Rattus norvegicus: one gene and its partners. The protein of the gene in region 2 interacts with the protein of the main gene of each other region in a pairwise test. Links are inferred from orthologs where the notes say so. Each region holds a gene or a part of one and is shown on either strand. Other genes may lie near its edges.

Evidence for each region.
Region 1: the proteins of Ushbp1 (region 2) and C5h1orf216 interact in binary tests that used the Homo sapiens proteins (3 or more experiments, as listed by UniProt). The two-hybrid records come from large-scale screens. The link is inferred for Rattus norvegicus from reciprocal best matches to the Homo sapiens genes USHBP1 and C1orf216.
Region 3: the proteins of Ushbp1 (region 2) and Fam107a interact in binary tests that used the Homo sapiens proteins (3 or more experiments, as listed by UniProt). The two-hybrid records come from large-scale screens. The link is inferred for Rattus norvegicus from reciprocal best matches to the Homo sapiens genes USHBP1 and FAM107A.

The regions. Positions count from the first base shown.
Region 1 is NC_086023.1:144,183,581-144,188,654, reverse strand, and holds the start of C5h1orf216 (UPF0500 protein C1orf216 homolog), read right to left. Parts: upstream 3,575-5,074; 5' UTR 3,403-3,574; intron 2,938-3,402; exon of another isoform or gene 2,213-2,937; coding exon of another isoform or gene 2,128-2,212; intron 1,323-2,127; coding exon of another isoform or gene 1,318-1,322; coding exon 637-1,317; 3' UTR 1-636.
Region 2 is NC_086034.1:18,094,834-18,099,417, reverse strand, and holds part of Ushbp1 (harmonin-binding protein USHBP1), read left to right. Parts: intron 1-873; coding exon 874-999; intron 1,000-2,370; coding exon 2,371-2,504; intron 2,505-2,643; coding exon 2,644-2,784; intron 2,785-3,100; coding exon 3,101-3,265; intron 3,266-4,346; coding exon 4,347-4,584.
Region 3 is NC_086033.1:19,044,883-19,050,154, forward strand, and holds the start of Fam107a (actin-associated protein FAM107A), read left to right. Parts: upstream 1-1,698; 5' UTR 1,699-1,747; exon of another isoform or gene 1,748-1,899; intron 1,900-5,272. UniProt on the Homo sapiens protein: Stress-inducible actin-binding protein that plays a role in synaptic and cognitive functions by modulating actin filamentous (F-actin) dynamics. Mediates polymerization of globular actin to F-actin. Also binds to, stabilizes and bundles F-actin.

The DNA of each region.
Region 1 (5,074 bases), on a different chromosome or scaffold from region 2:
TCTTAGGAAAAAGCCAACATTAGGGACAGCTGTCTTAGAGCAAGGCCTGAGGGGAAGGGACAGGGAAGAGAGCCTGGGAAACACTAGGAGAACAGATCACCCAAAGCCCTCAGATAAGTGACAGCGACGTAGGCTTCTCTCCAGGAAGCTGTGAGACTCAGTAGCGGATAAGGCTGGGGTAGACTTTGGGAACACAGGATGGATGGATGCCCTGCAGGTGCGATTGAACGTCTATTTACACACACCTGCTCTTAAGTCTCTGCAAATACACACGTTCCTAGCACGTGCTTCTTAGGCCAGAACTGGAACGTGTAAATCTCAACACACAGAGGGTCACTCACACCCCAACACAAGCCTGCACGTTTAAACTGATAACACATGCATACCTATCTTTTGCCTCTACATTTGGGAATAGATATATATATACACATTCCTGAGTACCTAGCCACATATGCACACATAAACACACATGCAACATGTAACACACACACAAGTTCGTTCACACATGCCTTACATACCTGCTTACATGTTAGCATATATATATATTCACTTATGCTGACTTACACACATGCCAACTAATACATACTTACTTGTGCATAACCACACAGAAGCCTGCCAACATACTTGTGCCCACCCTCAGCCCTGGTCCTGGTGCCTGCAAGGTCCTTCCCTGTGTTGCAGACAGCGGATAAGTTCCTTCCGGTTGTCTAGGATGGTGTCAAAGCTCTCCTGCAGTCGGGCCTGCTGGTCAACCAACTGGTGCTGTAGAGCCCGGATCCACTGGAGCAGCGCCAAGCGACGGTACATCACCAAATGCACATGGTGTTTCTCCTTCTCCTGTTCCTTGTAGCGCTCCTGAGCCTGCAGCTGCTGCACGGCCTGGGCCACAGAGGGCAGAAGGGGATCCAGGGGGCTTGGACCTCGAGGGGTGCTACAGCCAGCTTCTGCACTGCTGCTAAAGCTGCTGATGCTCAAGGAACTGCTGGCATAGCCGATGTCCTCCAGAGGAGAGCAGACGCTGCTGGCATCACTCGACTTCTCTGGCTCAGCACCAGGGATCTCTGCACCCTCCGGGGGACTGCGGACTCCGGCCTCAGGGAGCCCAGTGGCTTGGAAGACCCGGTTATCAGAGGGCGACTCAGAGGAGCTTCTTATCAGAATAGGATCCACACCATGCCAGTTCTTATTAGCATCCTTAGCGCTCTCCACGAAGTTGGAATTACTGTCTGGTTGGAGGTCCGGGTGACATACTCCAGGAGGCAGGCTCCCCAGGTACTGGGCCCCCTCTGCTAGTCCTGGCTGGATAGCAGCAAACATCTGGACTGTGAAGGAGAAGCAGAAGAATGAGTCACAGCAGGAGAGGATGGAATGACAACCTTGAGCCCAGTAACCTCCTCGTGGCTTTCACAGAGCGGGGTTTCCCTTTAAGGCTGCCCATCTCGTCATTCTACAAACTTCTCCCCAGGTCACTTCATCCTGTTACAGCTTCGAGAACCATCATGTGTAAGCAACTCTCAGATCCGTGTCCAGCCCAGATTCAACCCCTACTCAACCTTGTGACCTACCGCCGGTTCTTCAAATTCTACACATCCAGACAGCTCTCCTTGCAGCGTCCTCTGGCAGGACACTCTGCTGAGTCTAGCCACCCAGATGCCTAGGAGGACCTGGACTACTCACCCTCCTCCCATGGCCACCTCACTGTCCACATCTTGTCAAACTCTCCTTTAGCTCTGGTCATTTTGACCCAAGTGATTGTCACAGCCATTCCACTGACCCTCCTCCAACTAAAAATACAAACTTGGGTTGGAGAGAAGGCTCAGCAGTTAAATGGACTGGCTGCTCTTCCAGAGGATCTATGTCCCATTCCTAGCACCCAAGTCAGGTGGTTCACAACTGCCTGTATGGCTAGCTTCATCCCAACCTCGTCTTCTGGCCAATTTGTTCACCCACATGCACGTGTGCATACACAGATATGCTAATGTTTTTTAAAAAGACGTTCAGCTAAATAACAAATTATACTTTCAAAAGGAACATATGTCTACATGTATGTAGATGTATAGATATGGACAGATATATTCCATAAGAGAACCACATTTCCATGACGATTTATAACAGTAGCAAAATTACAGTTACTAAGTAGGAACAGAAGCTGGGCGGTGGTGATGTACGCCTTTAATCCCAGTGCTTGAGCCCAGAGGCAAGTGGATCTCATGAGTTCTACCACCAGGCTGGTCTACAGAGAGAGCGAGTTCCAGGACAGCCAGAGCTACAGAGAGAAACCCTGTCCGGAAAAACAAAAACAAACACAAACAAACAAAAAGGAAGTAGCAACAAGTTACTACTTGGGGGTCACCACAGTATGAGGAGCTGTCTTAAAGGGTCGCAGTGTTAGGAAGGTTGAGAACCTCTGCTCTAGAGCAAACCCAGCCAGCCATAGCAGGTATCAGTAATTACCTGCAGAGAGTGACTAAGGGGCTACCGTGGGGCTCCTGTTCTTAGGAAGACAGTAATAATGCCAGAAGGCGGCTACAGCAGAGACCCAGGGCTTGAAGCGCTGGTCTCTTTCTCCTCCTCCACACTAAGGAACCCCTGTCTCCTGAACCCACAATGACAAGCCTCTCTTGCAAGTCTGTCCCTTCCCCTCTAGTGCTCCTGGTACATGTTCATGGGACTCAGTTTGCTCCATGCTGATTTTCTCCCTCTCTCTCTTCCCTAATAATCGCTTTTGAGTATGAACTGACAAGACGTTCCATTGACCACACGTCTATGACCAGAAGGAAGAACTGAGGCCTCATGAGTGAAACATACCATTAAGTCAATCAAGCAGCCACTAGGAAGGTTCCCCTATAGGTGGCAGGGAGCCTCCCCACACCCAGCAATAGGCAGAAGTCATGGAGACTGAGGTTGGGACAGATGTTTCCACCCCTTTGGCTTGTAAGAAAAGGCCTGAAGACACCCCCAATCCCCCCCCGCCCCATACACACATACATACTCTATTTTAAAAATTTCCTAGGGGCTGGGGATTTAGCTCAGTGGTAGAGCGCTTACCTAGGAAGCGCAAGGCCCTGGGTTCGGTCCCCAGCTCCGAAAAAAAGAATAAAAAAAAAAAATTTCCTAAATTTGGCCAGGCTTACAAAGAAAGTTGGGGTGGGGTGGGGTGACAGTGGGGTTAAGCATCCAGGCTCAAAAAGTCAGTGAAATGAATCCAGACATCCCAAGATCAGGATCCCCCTCTCCTCCCAGCTAATCTATAGTGTAGGGGTAAGGGAGGGGACTGTAGCACGGGGATTGGCAGCCTCACAGGGGACAGAGAGCACAGTGACCCTGATCTCTGCAGAGGCAGCTCCCCAATCCACCCTCAGGCGGCTGGGCCCCAAGCACTCCATCAGGGCCCGGACTCACGGCCTAGAGGCGCCCGCTCCTGCGGGGTTTGCTATGGTTCCTCGGGGCCTGCTCGCTGTAGAGGCTGGGGGTGGGTCCTGGACCTGCGCGTGCACGCGCGGTGGCGCGGCTGCCTGGTCCTGGCACAGCCGTCCCAGCCCCAGCCCGGACTGCGGAGTCCAGCGGCGTCTGCGCGGCTGGGCGGGGCGGCCTGACTCACGTGGGCCGGTTCGGTTCTCCGCGCAGGAACTGCCTCCTCCCGCGGCTTGACCCGAGAGCCTTCTAGGTCCGGTGTCATCTCCTAACCACTCTGGCTAGGCGCCACCGATCCATCGTTTTTCCTGCTGTAGACATAGCGACGAAATAACTCCTTCCTGGGTTTCTCAGTGGCTAGGAAATTGGCGAGGCCGCGGTGCACGTCCCATCCTGCTGCAGCACTCGCTGCGGTCCTTTCCCTGCTCCAGCTCGTCACGTTTTCTGCTGAACTGTTCATCCCCATTTACTTTTAGGATCCTTGCTGACTCCTAGACCTGTTTTGTTTGTTTGTTTTTAAGTCCCTTCACTGTACTATACCTATTTGATGAAACGCACTTAGTGACAGCTATGCGGATGTTATTGTTTTGTTTGTTGTTTTGAGACAGAGTCTCATTATGAAACCCTGGCTGTCCTGGAAAGCACTACGTAGAACAAGTTGGCCTCCAACGCACAGTGAGATCCGCCTGCCTCTGCCTCCCAAGGGCTGGGATTAAAGGCGCGCTCCATCACCTGCAGCCAGTTTTAAAGATTTTATTTTTTATTTATGTATATGTGTTAGTGTCTCTGTGTGTGCGTGTGTAACTAAGAATGGAATCCCACTCCAGGTAAGTCACAGTTCTTCCTTTAGACAGGAGGATTTCAGACTATGGCTGCAGTATCACATTTCCTGACACCTGGAAGAAGCCTGTGTAATAGGGGAAAATGTGCGGCGCTGGAGCGGACACCCAGGAACGGAGACGAAGACACATGGCTGGCTAATGCCCCAGCCTCTGCTTCCTGAGTTTCTAGTTTTGATGCCTTCCCATGAAGTTCATATCTTGCCATATCCAACCCGAGTGGAATTTATCAAACTGGTAATCAAAAGATTCTTGAATTAATACACTAAACGTGATGAGGTAACCCTAGATTCTGATCATTCCCTGTTACTGTGTAGCCATTTACTCTGAACTGAAGCATTAGAGGGAGGGTTGTGAGATCCAGAAGATTCCCGAGGGCCCTCTTCAAGGTAGTGAGTGACCTAAGGGGTTGCTGGGGCAACAGAGACTCTTCAGTGGAGCTGCCTGCAAGTTGTGCTGGAAGCTCCAGGGATGCAGACTTTGTGAGTGGTCACTTAGCTGGATTCCGGTTTTCAGTGACCTAGCTGCCTTTGAGCTTTTGATGGCCCTGTGAGTGAATCCTGACTGATAACCAACCCTGGTCGACTCATCGGTTCACCAAGGAGACTTTGATGGGACTGTTCCTTCAGTCTGACCTCACTGCCCTCTCTAGTGGAAGTGGTGTCTGCCAGGTCTCCCCAGAAGGGGACTGCCTAACACTCAGTAAGCGGTAGCAGTGTATTTGCCCTTGATAGTCAGCATCAGGACGCCGATAGGTCCTATAATCCGCCATCATGTAGAAGGTGAAAGGGTCTGAAACATAAGGAAAACCATCTCTGTGT
Region 2 (4,584 bases):
TGAGAGGAACAGTCTGGCGGTGGACCATAATCCTGAAGGTGGAGGAGGGGCGACAGCAGTGGCTCGGGGCGTTTAGTAGAGGTGACCAAAAAACCTACAGATTATGGGTGACGTTAAACCCAGATGTGATAGGACAAGCCTGTAATGATAAGGACTTCAAAGGCTGAGATGAGAAGATCATAATTTAGTACTAGCTTTGAAAAGATAGGCAATCGTCTCAAAACAGAACAGAGCCCTAGCTGGTTCTGCTAAGAATCCTCGTCAGCCTGTGGGCGTGGCTCAGGGTAGAGTGACAGCGTAGAATACTCCAATGAGGGGCTAGGGGCGTGGCTCAGCGCTTAGCTTTCAGAGGCTTCTCACAATAACAAAAATGAGTTCTCCTGAGTGTGGTGGTGCACACTTGAAATCCCAGCTGCTTGCGAGGCTGAGGTGGGAGACGGCTTGAGTTGGGGCAGTATAAATGACTCCGGGAAACAGTCTCCTAAAAAGTTAGAAAGGAATAAAGTGGAGGGCTAGAGAGTTGGCTCTTCGGTCTAGAGCACTGGCTGCTCTTCCAGAAGATCCAGGTTTGATTCCAAGCATCCATGTGGCAACTCTCTGTAACTCCAGTTCCCAAGGGACCTGACACCTCATACAGACATACAGGGAAAACGCCGATGCAAGTAAAATAATAAAAATAAATCCTAAAAAAATAAAATAAACTCTGCCTCCCCCATCACCCTGCCAGTAGGTGCACTCCCCTGGTTAGGCCTTGAGTGTTGAGAGCTCTGTGGCAGCTGGGAACCGTCCCAGGCCACATTGACGGGGGTTCCGGTTGCTGTAGAGAATTGGTTGAATATGTGAAGTCAAGGCCTGATCCCCTGTCACCGACAGGTACAGGAGCTGGAGGATTCCCTGATGCAGCTGGAGGCCTCCCCGCCTCCCTCCATGCTCAGAGCAGGCCGTAGAAACAGCAACTCCAGCAGTTCTGGGGCAGAAAGGAGACCCTGGGCACCTCAGGTAAGAATAAAGCCTTCTGAGTGAATGTCATGATGATCCCTGCTTTCCCAGTGTGAGGGGCAAATATCAATTTGTGCTTTATGGGATCCCATAATAAAAGACAAAACTTTTCCTGGGGAGACACTACACACATCAACTGACCACAGATAGGGAGCCCATGACACATCAAATACGGACACCACTAAAGTTCAACTTAGTGAACCAATGAGTTTTATTGGAGTTACAAATAGGATTATGGGTACACATTATGGGTATGAATATGGGTACATATAGGATTGTAGTTATGTACATGTTGATGGACAGAAATGATTCAAAGACAGCTGCATCACCAGAGTCTGAGTGACAGCATGAGTGACAACTCACTAAAACTGGGAACCTGGAGCTCACTGCAGGTTGGAAGTTGTCCCTTCTTAGTGACTCTGGTCTAAACCTCCTTCACACAGCTGGTCTTATCTCAGGGTCTTCTTTGCTTGCTTCTTTGTTCACTAATCTCAAAGGGACTTTCCTTATTTTGGCAGGGAGGGGCCTAGTCCAGTTTCTGCTCAGTTTCAGGGACTTCCTGAAACTATTTGGAGTTGTTTACCGTCCTGCTTCAGGAGCTTCTCTGTCAATACAACCTATAATATATGAAAAGAACTAAATAGGACTTGGAGCCATGGCTCAATGGTTAGGGTCCTAGCTGCTTTTATCGAATACGCAGGTTCAATTCTCTGTAGCCACATGGCAGCTCACAATCATCTGTAACTCTTGTTCTAGGAGATCTGATGCCTTCTTCAGGGCTCCACAGGCACTAGGCATGCATGTGCACAGACAGACGTGAAGGCAAACACCCATATACATAAAATTAAAAGAAAAAATAAAAAGCTTAAATTACCAGCTTGGTAGCTCAAAGCAGTCACCCCACAGTCACCCCAATTGCTTAAGAGCCTGACCAGAAGGATCATGACCAGTAAATGTGGTGACACCCTGTCTCCATATTAAAGAAAAAATAAAATCATTGATGAGATGCCTCAGCTTCTTGGGGCAACTGTTGCCAAGTCTGCTGATACAGGTTCAACCCCTGGGTCCCACAAAGTGAAAGGAGAGAACTGACTCCCATATGTTGTCCTCTGACATCCATTCACATGCCATGGTACACACACACACACACACACACACACACACAGGCATGCACGCATGCATAATACATTCCACATGTGTATGCAAATACCCTCCCCAAAACAAACCAAAGATGTTGTTGTACCTCAGTGGTGAAACAGATTGGTAATATGATCCAAGGCCCTGATTCCACCCCCAGCCCTGCAAAAAAGGGGAGAAAAACACTTCTGGGGCTTTTGATGTTAGATAAATCAAGTCATGTCTTCCTGGCAGGACTCCCCCATGGCTCACCCCTTTCTCCAACGCCTTCGGAGTGACTCCAGCACCCAGAGCTTTGGGTGCCTTTCCACACAGCGTCCATCCCCAGAGATGTACCTCATGGAAGACCAGATGGGACAGCTCCAGGGGTGAGCAGCTGAATTATAGCTGCTGAGCTTTTAAGGACACAATTTCTCCTGCCACTGGGTTGTGATTGGGAAGGGGAGAAAACAGCTCTGGGTGATTGGAGTGTCACTCACCTTCCCTGTTGCCCACCTTTGGAGGCAGGAACATTGAGAAGTTGAAGTGCTTCAACCGCCTCCTGCTGGCTGTGCTCCAGGGCTACAAGGGCCGCTGTGAGAGCCTCAGCATTAAGCTGGGCAAGAGAGAGGCTGAGGCCACAGCCCTGCACCTGGCTCTACAATATAGGTCTGTGCCTGTTTCCAGTGATGGTGGTTGCTGGGGCTGGGGTGGTGCTGCATGCCAGGATGCCTTATGTACAGAGGGACACAGGACCTTCAGACATTGCCTCACAATGACATGTTACTCTGACCCATAAAGAATGAGGGGTGGGAGGTGTCTTTTGTAGTTTGTTATATATTTATTTGAGACAGGGTTTCACTGTGTAGCCCAGGCTGGCCTGGAACTCTCTATGTACAGCAGGCTGGCCTGGAACTCACAGAGATCTGCCTATCTCTGCCTGGGTTGGGGTTGAATGTTGAAACATTTAGATCCTATCCCACAGCAAGGACTGTGAGGAGGTGTATGAGGTGCTGCTTGCTCTGAAGACAGCTGGTCTAGGAGCTGGAGTTGGAGCTACCAATGGCGACCTGCAGGCTGCTGAGAAGGAGGCCTCTAGGCTGCTGGTGAAGAAGGAAGTAGCCATGGATGTAAAGACACCCCAGCCCAGGTACCCACAGGAAGCACAAGAGTTGCTGGTCCATGAGAGTGATGGGGGGCATGTCCCAAAGCCTGCTGTACATGGGGCATTGGGGTTAGGATCATCATTCACTGCTCAGGGTTGGCTCTGCACTCATCATGTTTGGCTGATACAACGCCTGACTGGAGTCGGTTACTCAGTGGCACCAGGTGTGGTGACAGTCTTTGATCTCAGCACTCAGGAGACAGAGTTAGAGTAGTTCCAGGCTAGCCCACACAGAGTGATCCTGTCTGAAATGAATACAAAAGCAAACACACACATACACAAAGCATCAAGTAATGTAGACCCTAGCTTCAGCCTCTAAAACTGGGTAAAAAAAAATACAGGGGTTGGGGATTTAGCTCAGTGGTAGAGAGCTCGCCTAGCAAGTGCAAGGCCCTGGGTTCGGTCCCCAGCTCCGAAAAAAAGAAGAGAAAAAAATACAGTGAAGAGAAATTTATTAGGTTTATTAGCTCATGATTTCAGAGGTGTCAATCCATCATTGCAGCCAGGAAGTAAAGAGGAGGGGTACAGGAAGTAGACAGGATTTCACATAGCCCCAGAGAAAGATGGCACTCTTGACAAGTTGTGTGAACCTGGGAAGGTTATCAGTATACTTGTAAGGAACGTCTATACTAATGGCTGTGAGCTCCTGACTTAGTCTCTGTGCAGAGAGTCCTCAGTGCCAGTGCAGCCTTGGTGCCCAGTTTGAGCTGCGCACACCTCACAAGTAAATTCAAATTCCTCTAGTGGCATTATTACCATCAAGGCTCACCACCTTGCTACGTATCTGAATGTGGCCTTGAACTCCTCCTGCCTCCATCTCCTAAGAGCTGGGCTATTAATATGGTGCCAGGCATGGACCTTCACGCATGCTAGGCAAGTTCTGAGGACTGAGCTGCAAGCACTCTACTGGCTGAGCCCCAGCATCTACCATACTAGAATGCTGGAAGATTATCGGCTGGGTGTAGGTCGTGCTGTGGATGCTGTTGGTAGGCCTCAGGTAGCATAAAAGTGTGGTTCCTTAGGGCTGTGTGTTGGGAACAGCTGGCCTGCCCCCTGTCTCTTATAGTCCAGAGGGCAGTAGTGTGGACAAGCCTACACCAGAGGAACTGGCTGCTCAGCTCCACGGCTATGTCCAGCATCTCCGAGAACGCTGGGCTCTGCTGAAGATCCCCCCAGTACTTGATCCTGCCACTGCACCCAAGCCCACTATGCCCCATGCAGAAGCAACAGTGCAGACCATTCTGGAGATACAGCCCGGGCCCACCTTGCCTCAGCTGGAGAAGTCTCAGATCCAGCAGGACCTA
Region 3 (5,272 bases), on a different chromosome or scaffold from region 2:
ATCTCCCTTTCTCAGGCCCTTCCACCATCTCCGTCCTTCCCCACCTTGGCTCTACTGGCCTCCCTCTATCATTCCCAGTTCATTCCCACTCCAGAGCCTTGACACTAGCTGTGCTCACCCTAAACATTTGTCCCACATAAGCAATGACTCCTTGTCTGCGCCCACCTTTCCCAAGCTTCCAGTCACTGCCCTTCCTTACTCAGCCTTTCTACAGTCATACATCACTGGTTGACATTTTCTTGTATGTCTTTTTATCTACTGTCACACACACACACTACACACACATGCACACCACACACACACACACACACACACACACACACACACACACACACACACACACACACACACTGAATGTGGATCCCCTGAGAACAGGGGTACTGTCTCTCTCTGTTGCTTTCCCATCATACGCCCACTTAGAACATGCCAGGAAATATACACATACATATTAGATATTGACTACATGAACAGATCCTAGGGCCAAAATGAACTCAAACTGCGTGTGGAATATGTCTGCCTACCTGTGATGTGTGTGACCTGAACCTCATCGCTCTTGACCGACCAAAGTTCCATGAGAAAGTAAACTGGGGTACAGGCCTAGTCTCACTGGCAGAGGCTGGTTTCCTCAGTTGGGGGACAGAGAATAATGCCAAACGACAGAATGGCCCAAGGCTCGAGCAGTAGCTAGTTCAGAGGTGCAGAGAAGGCCTTTGATCTACAAGCACCTAGATTGGCTTTGGGGTTCTGCCCAAGCCCACAGCTTCTCTTTGCGCACACTCTCATTGTGGCCAGGCACAGGCATGCACATTGGGGCTCTGCCTTTAGCACATGACAGTTCTCTGAAGGCTGCTTTAATGAACACCATCTCATTGAGGTCACGCGCAGCCAACACACACAGGAAAGCCAAAGTACAGAAGGGACTAGGATCAGAGTGGGCTAGGTACAAATCTATCCGCTGCCCTTTTCCTGGACTACATCCTGCTGGTTCTTCTGTGGAAATTAATTGTGTGAAGTTTGTTTGTTTGTTTGTTTGTTTGTTTGTTTGAGATAGGGTTTCTCTGTGTAGTCCTGGCTATCCTGGAACTCTCTCTCTCTGTAGACCATGCTGGCCTTGAACACAGAGATCTACCTCCTTCTGCCTCCCAAATGCTCTGGCTGTCCATGTGCCCAACACATTTGTAGATGACCACTTCACTTCACAATGTTTCTTACACCTAAGCCTGCAGGGCTGCCAAGAACTGTCTGGGTATAGTTCTCTCCCTGCTAGTATCCAAGAGCCAAGTTCTAAAGAATCCCTCACTGCAGCAGGAAGCGTGGTTCCCCTCCCCTCCTTTGGGGAAGTGCTGGAATTCCCTCCCATACAAACAAGGGAAATTCCTCCTCAGAAGCCAGGAGCCGCCTTGTTCAGAACAAAGCTTGGTGTGAGTCATATTCCTCATCAATCTGACAACACGGGTATTTATTGGTGCCTCTCAATCAGGGTGGCTTGGACATGGTGTTCTGAGTCTCGGACACGGCCACTCACCAAGTAAAATAACGGTTTCTATAGCAACAGTTCTTTTTCATTGCTATCAGAATAAATGGGAATGCAAAACTGCCTCCCATCTTGGGGGTTTAAGGCCCGCCCTTTGGGGGTGGCTGCCTCAGCCATCTGGGACTGGCTTAGCACTCCCTAAGTCTGAAACCTGCAGAGGACCTCGCAGCCCAGACACTGCCAAGGAGCTCACAGCCCCGGACCTGTAGAGAAGTAAGACTCTGATCTATTCTGCTTCACATCTGTTAGGCTGAGTGTGTTCTAGGAGAAGGTGGTGGGAAGGAGATGACCTAAGAGCATCGGAGCAAGCTGTCCCAGCAACTAAGCCCTTCAAAATGTAGGTACTGGGACCCTGCCTTACTGAGGTGAGAAGAGGCAGGGATGTGAAGTGGGGGTGGGAGATAGAGGGTTAAGTAGGCTCTCAGTTACAACCCGGCAGTCTGGTTGACCTTTTACTTCTAAACACTGAGAGGAATTTAACATCTGCTACAGCCTCTCTTAAATCCATCATCACACAGTAGGGGTATGTAGGGTCAGCAAGGAGGGTTCACTTAATAGAGGACAGATAGACACAATCGGCAGATAGTCCAGGTTCTATATGCAATGAGAAAAGCACAGAACTTGGATTTGGGTACCAAAGCTCAGCTCGGATTCTGGCTACCTCACACACTGGCTATGTGATCTGGAGAAATCAGACGACGTCTCTGAGGTCTGTTCCTAAGAAGGGGTTGCCCACCTTCTCAGTTTATTGAGAGTTTTGAGTCGGAAACTAGACGAATAGCTCATTACTCAGCCTGTACTGAGAATGCAGGCTATGGGTGATTCCCGCCTTGCCGATGGACTTGGCTTCATCACGTGGTACACGGCCAGTCTGGGACTAGAGAAATCAGGGATCCAGGGATCAGGGGATTGCCTGTCACTAGGAAGCTGCTATTAGTGGGATGGGCTCTAAATTTGAAACAGTCCTCCCACACACATGGGTTTCTGGGTGCTTGGGTCCTGATGGCTTCCTCACTGTGAAGTCTGGCAACCCCTGCTGTGATTTTTCCCTGAGCCAGCTGCCAGGTGCAACAGCTGTCATCAGATCACAAGGATAGCAGTATGGGACATCCACTCACGCTGCTTCCTGCTCAACAGCAGGGCACAATCCCCAGCCTTGCTATGGACCCTATAGGCCTCACCCTTCAAATCCAACCTTTCTTTTCTCTGGTGAAACGGATCCAGGGGACCAAGACCTGAAGTAGTCTGGAGCCTTCTTGCCTAAATGGATAGGTGGCTCCAAGACGAAGAAGATTGACCTGAGTCTGCAGGGAGACCTAGAGCTGTTGCCAAATGCGTTCTTAGGTTACTGGCCAGCCATTGAGCTACAAATGCATACCACCCACAGGGAGGAGAGAGCAAGCAGGACATGTGGCAGCCAGCTTGTCATTTTTCTGAATGTTTCTCCTTCTCTTGCCAGTGCTTCTCAAAGCCCCCCTGCTGATGCTGAACCAGAAAGGTTTAGAGGAACTGGGGGTTGAAACCTGGCCACAGGCCTGACAGGAAAAAGCTGCTTCAAGCAGCAGGGCAGTGCTTGCGTTTCTCACTGTCTGGTTCTCTGGCCATCATGTTCTCAGCCTTCCTCTTCACAGGGGTTTATTGAGTATACAGAGAGAGAGAGAGCAAAGGGCTGTAAATTGGTTCTGTTGAGTCAAAAACATGCCATTCCTAGGAGACAGTTCTATGGTAGAAAGAGTACTAGGTTTGGAGTCCAACAATCCTGGCTTTGCTAAGTACTTGGCGTGTACCTTAGCTTGATAAGCCCTGATTTCTTCAACTACAAAATGAGTTGCCTTCAAGATAATCATGAGAGTCAGACCAAGTCCCGTGCTCACTCCAAAACATGCAGGACAAGAAAGAGGTTCACAGTCTGCCTACTCAGCCAGGTAGTCTACAAACTACAGTGTGCACACCACAAGGTCTCACATTCTAATGACCTGAGGGGACGGGAGGTGGCCATGATCTCCACTGGTCAGAGGCTGAGAGCGCAGGAGCTGTTTGCTTGAGGCCACACAAGCTAAGATCATGTGTTACATTGTTTCTTTTGCTTTAATCCCTGAACACTTTGTGGACCCAGTGTCATGTGTTGTAACTGATAGACCAGAAACACAATAAGAACATTGAAGATAGAGGGAATGCAGTCAGAAAGTGACAAGAAGACCATAAGGATTCAGCCCAGTTGGTCAAGAACTTACCCAGCATGCACAAAGCCCTGAGATGGATCGATGATACCCCATAAATGGGACATGGTGGCTATGCCTATAGTGTTAGCCCTTGGGAGGTGGAAGCAGGCCAATCAAGAGTTCAAGGTCACCCTTGGCTATGTAACAAGTTTGAGGCCAACTGGGGATATGTGAAACCCTCCTAAAAAGGGGAGGGGGATGAAAGGATCTTGTGCAGTAACCAGGTTCCTGCAGCTGTTCTCAGTGTAAACTTCACCCTGTAGCAAGAGTATCATTCTCCTCCGGCTCTCTCCTCACTGCCCAGGAAAGACCAGGGATTGCTATCGAAGCTACTGTTCCCACCAGTCTGTGCACACCCAGAACCAGACTCAGTCTTTAGGAAGGAACCCTGGGACCTTTTGGGTTACCAACAGAACCTGTGAAGAATGAGAGGCCCCGGTCTCTCTTCTGTATTCTTATCCCTGTGACCCTTCGACCCTCTTAGAGACATACAGACCACTCATTTAGCCAAAACCTTCTGGTCCCAGAGCTCTGTGCCCAACAGAACCTCCTCAGTCACCATGATTCTCTGTAGGATTGAGTAGGGGGCCTACTTCTGTCCTTCTGCTCTGTCACAGGGCTCAGGCTGCTCTGGGAGGCAGGATTCGGGAAGTTTGACCCGTCAGGTGGGTGTTAGACTGTGGGAAGCTGCGGGACACTGCTCCAGGGTAGGGAAGCACCGTCTGAGGACAGGACGCTGCAGCCTTCAGTTCTTAGGCTCTTGGGCATCCAGGCACCGCTGGGATGCTGCAGAAACAGAGTGGGGGCCGATCTAGCCAGGGGCAGAGGGGGAAAAGGAGGGGGGATGCTCCAACTGGTCCTGCTGGGAAGTCTTTGGCTGTCCTGGGTATCAGGCTTGGGCTTGGTAGAGGGCTGAAGCTGGGAGGGCAGGAAAGTCTTCTATGGGAGATTAGGTGACTGGCTCTGTAGGCGAAGGGATTCTCAATGGCTTGCCACCGTGGATCCCATAAGAAGAGGTAGTCCATGGTTTCAAGGCATTTATTGTGATGGTGGATAGGGAATGAGAAAAATTGTACTCCACTTCTCAGAGTGGGCCTGGGATTAAATATCTTTTTCAGGGAAGAGTTTCTGGAAGGAAAGTTCATTGGCTAAGTCTCCAGACCTTTAGGTATCTCATTATAATGGAGATCTGTCTTGAGCCTACTTGACCTATGGTCATGTCCTCTACCTGTGAAGGAGCTTGGGGTGTTTCCCTTATGTGACAGATGGTCACAGATCTATGAAGGGCTGCGGGCCAGTGACCAGCCTGGTTTCCTGGGAGTCAGGCAAAGCGCCTACTGGCCCTTTCAGGGTCTCCAGGGTTCAAATCTCCTCAACTGAGAACCAGGGTGTCTTTCACTGTCCCACAGTTCTCTAGAGGAGGATGTCTGGGTTAAAGACCTAAGAAGAATGCCCTCAACCAGACCTGCTTGTAGTGACTGGCCAGCCACAGCCAGCTAGAGTTACTTAGTCAGAG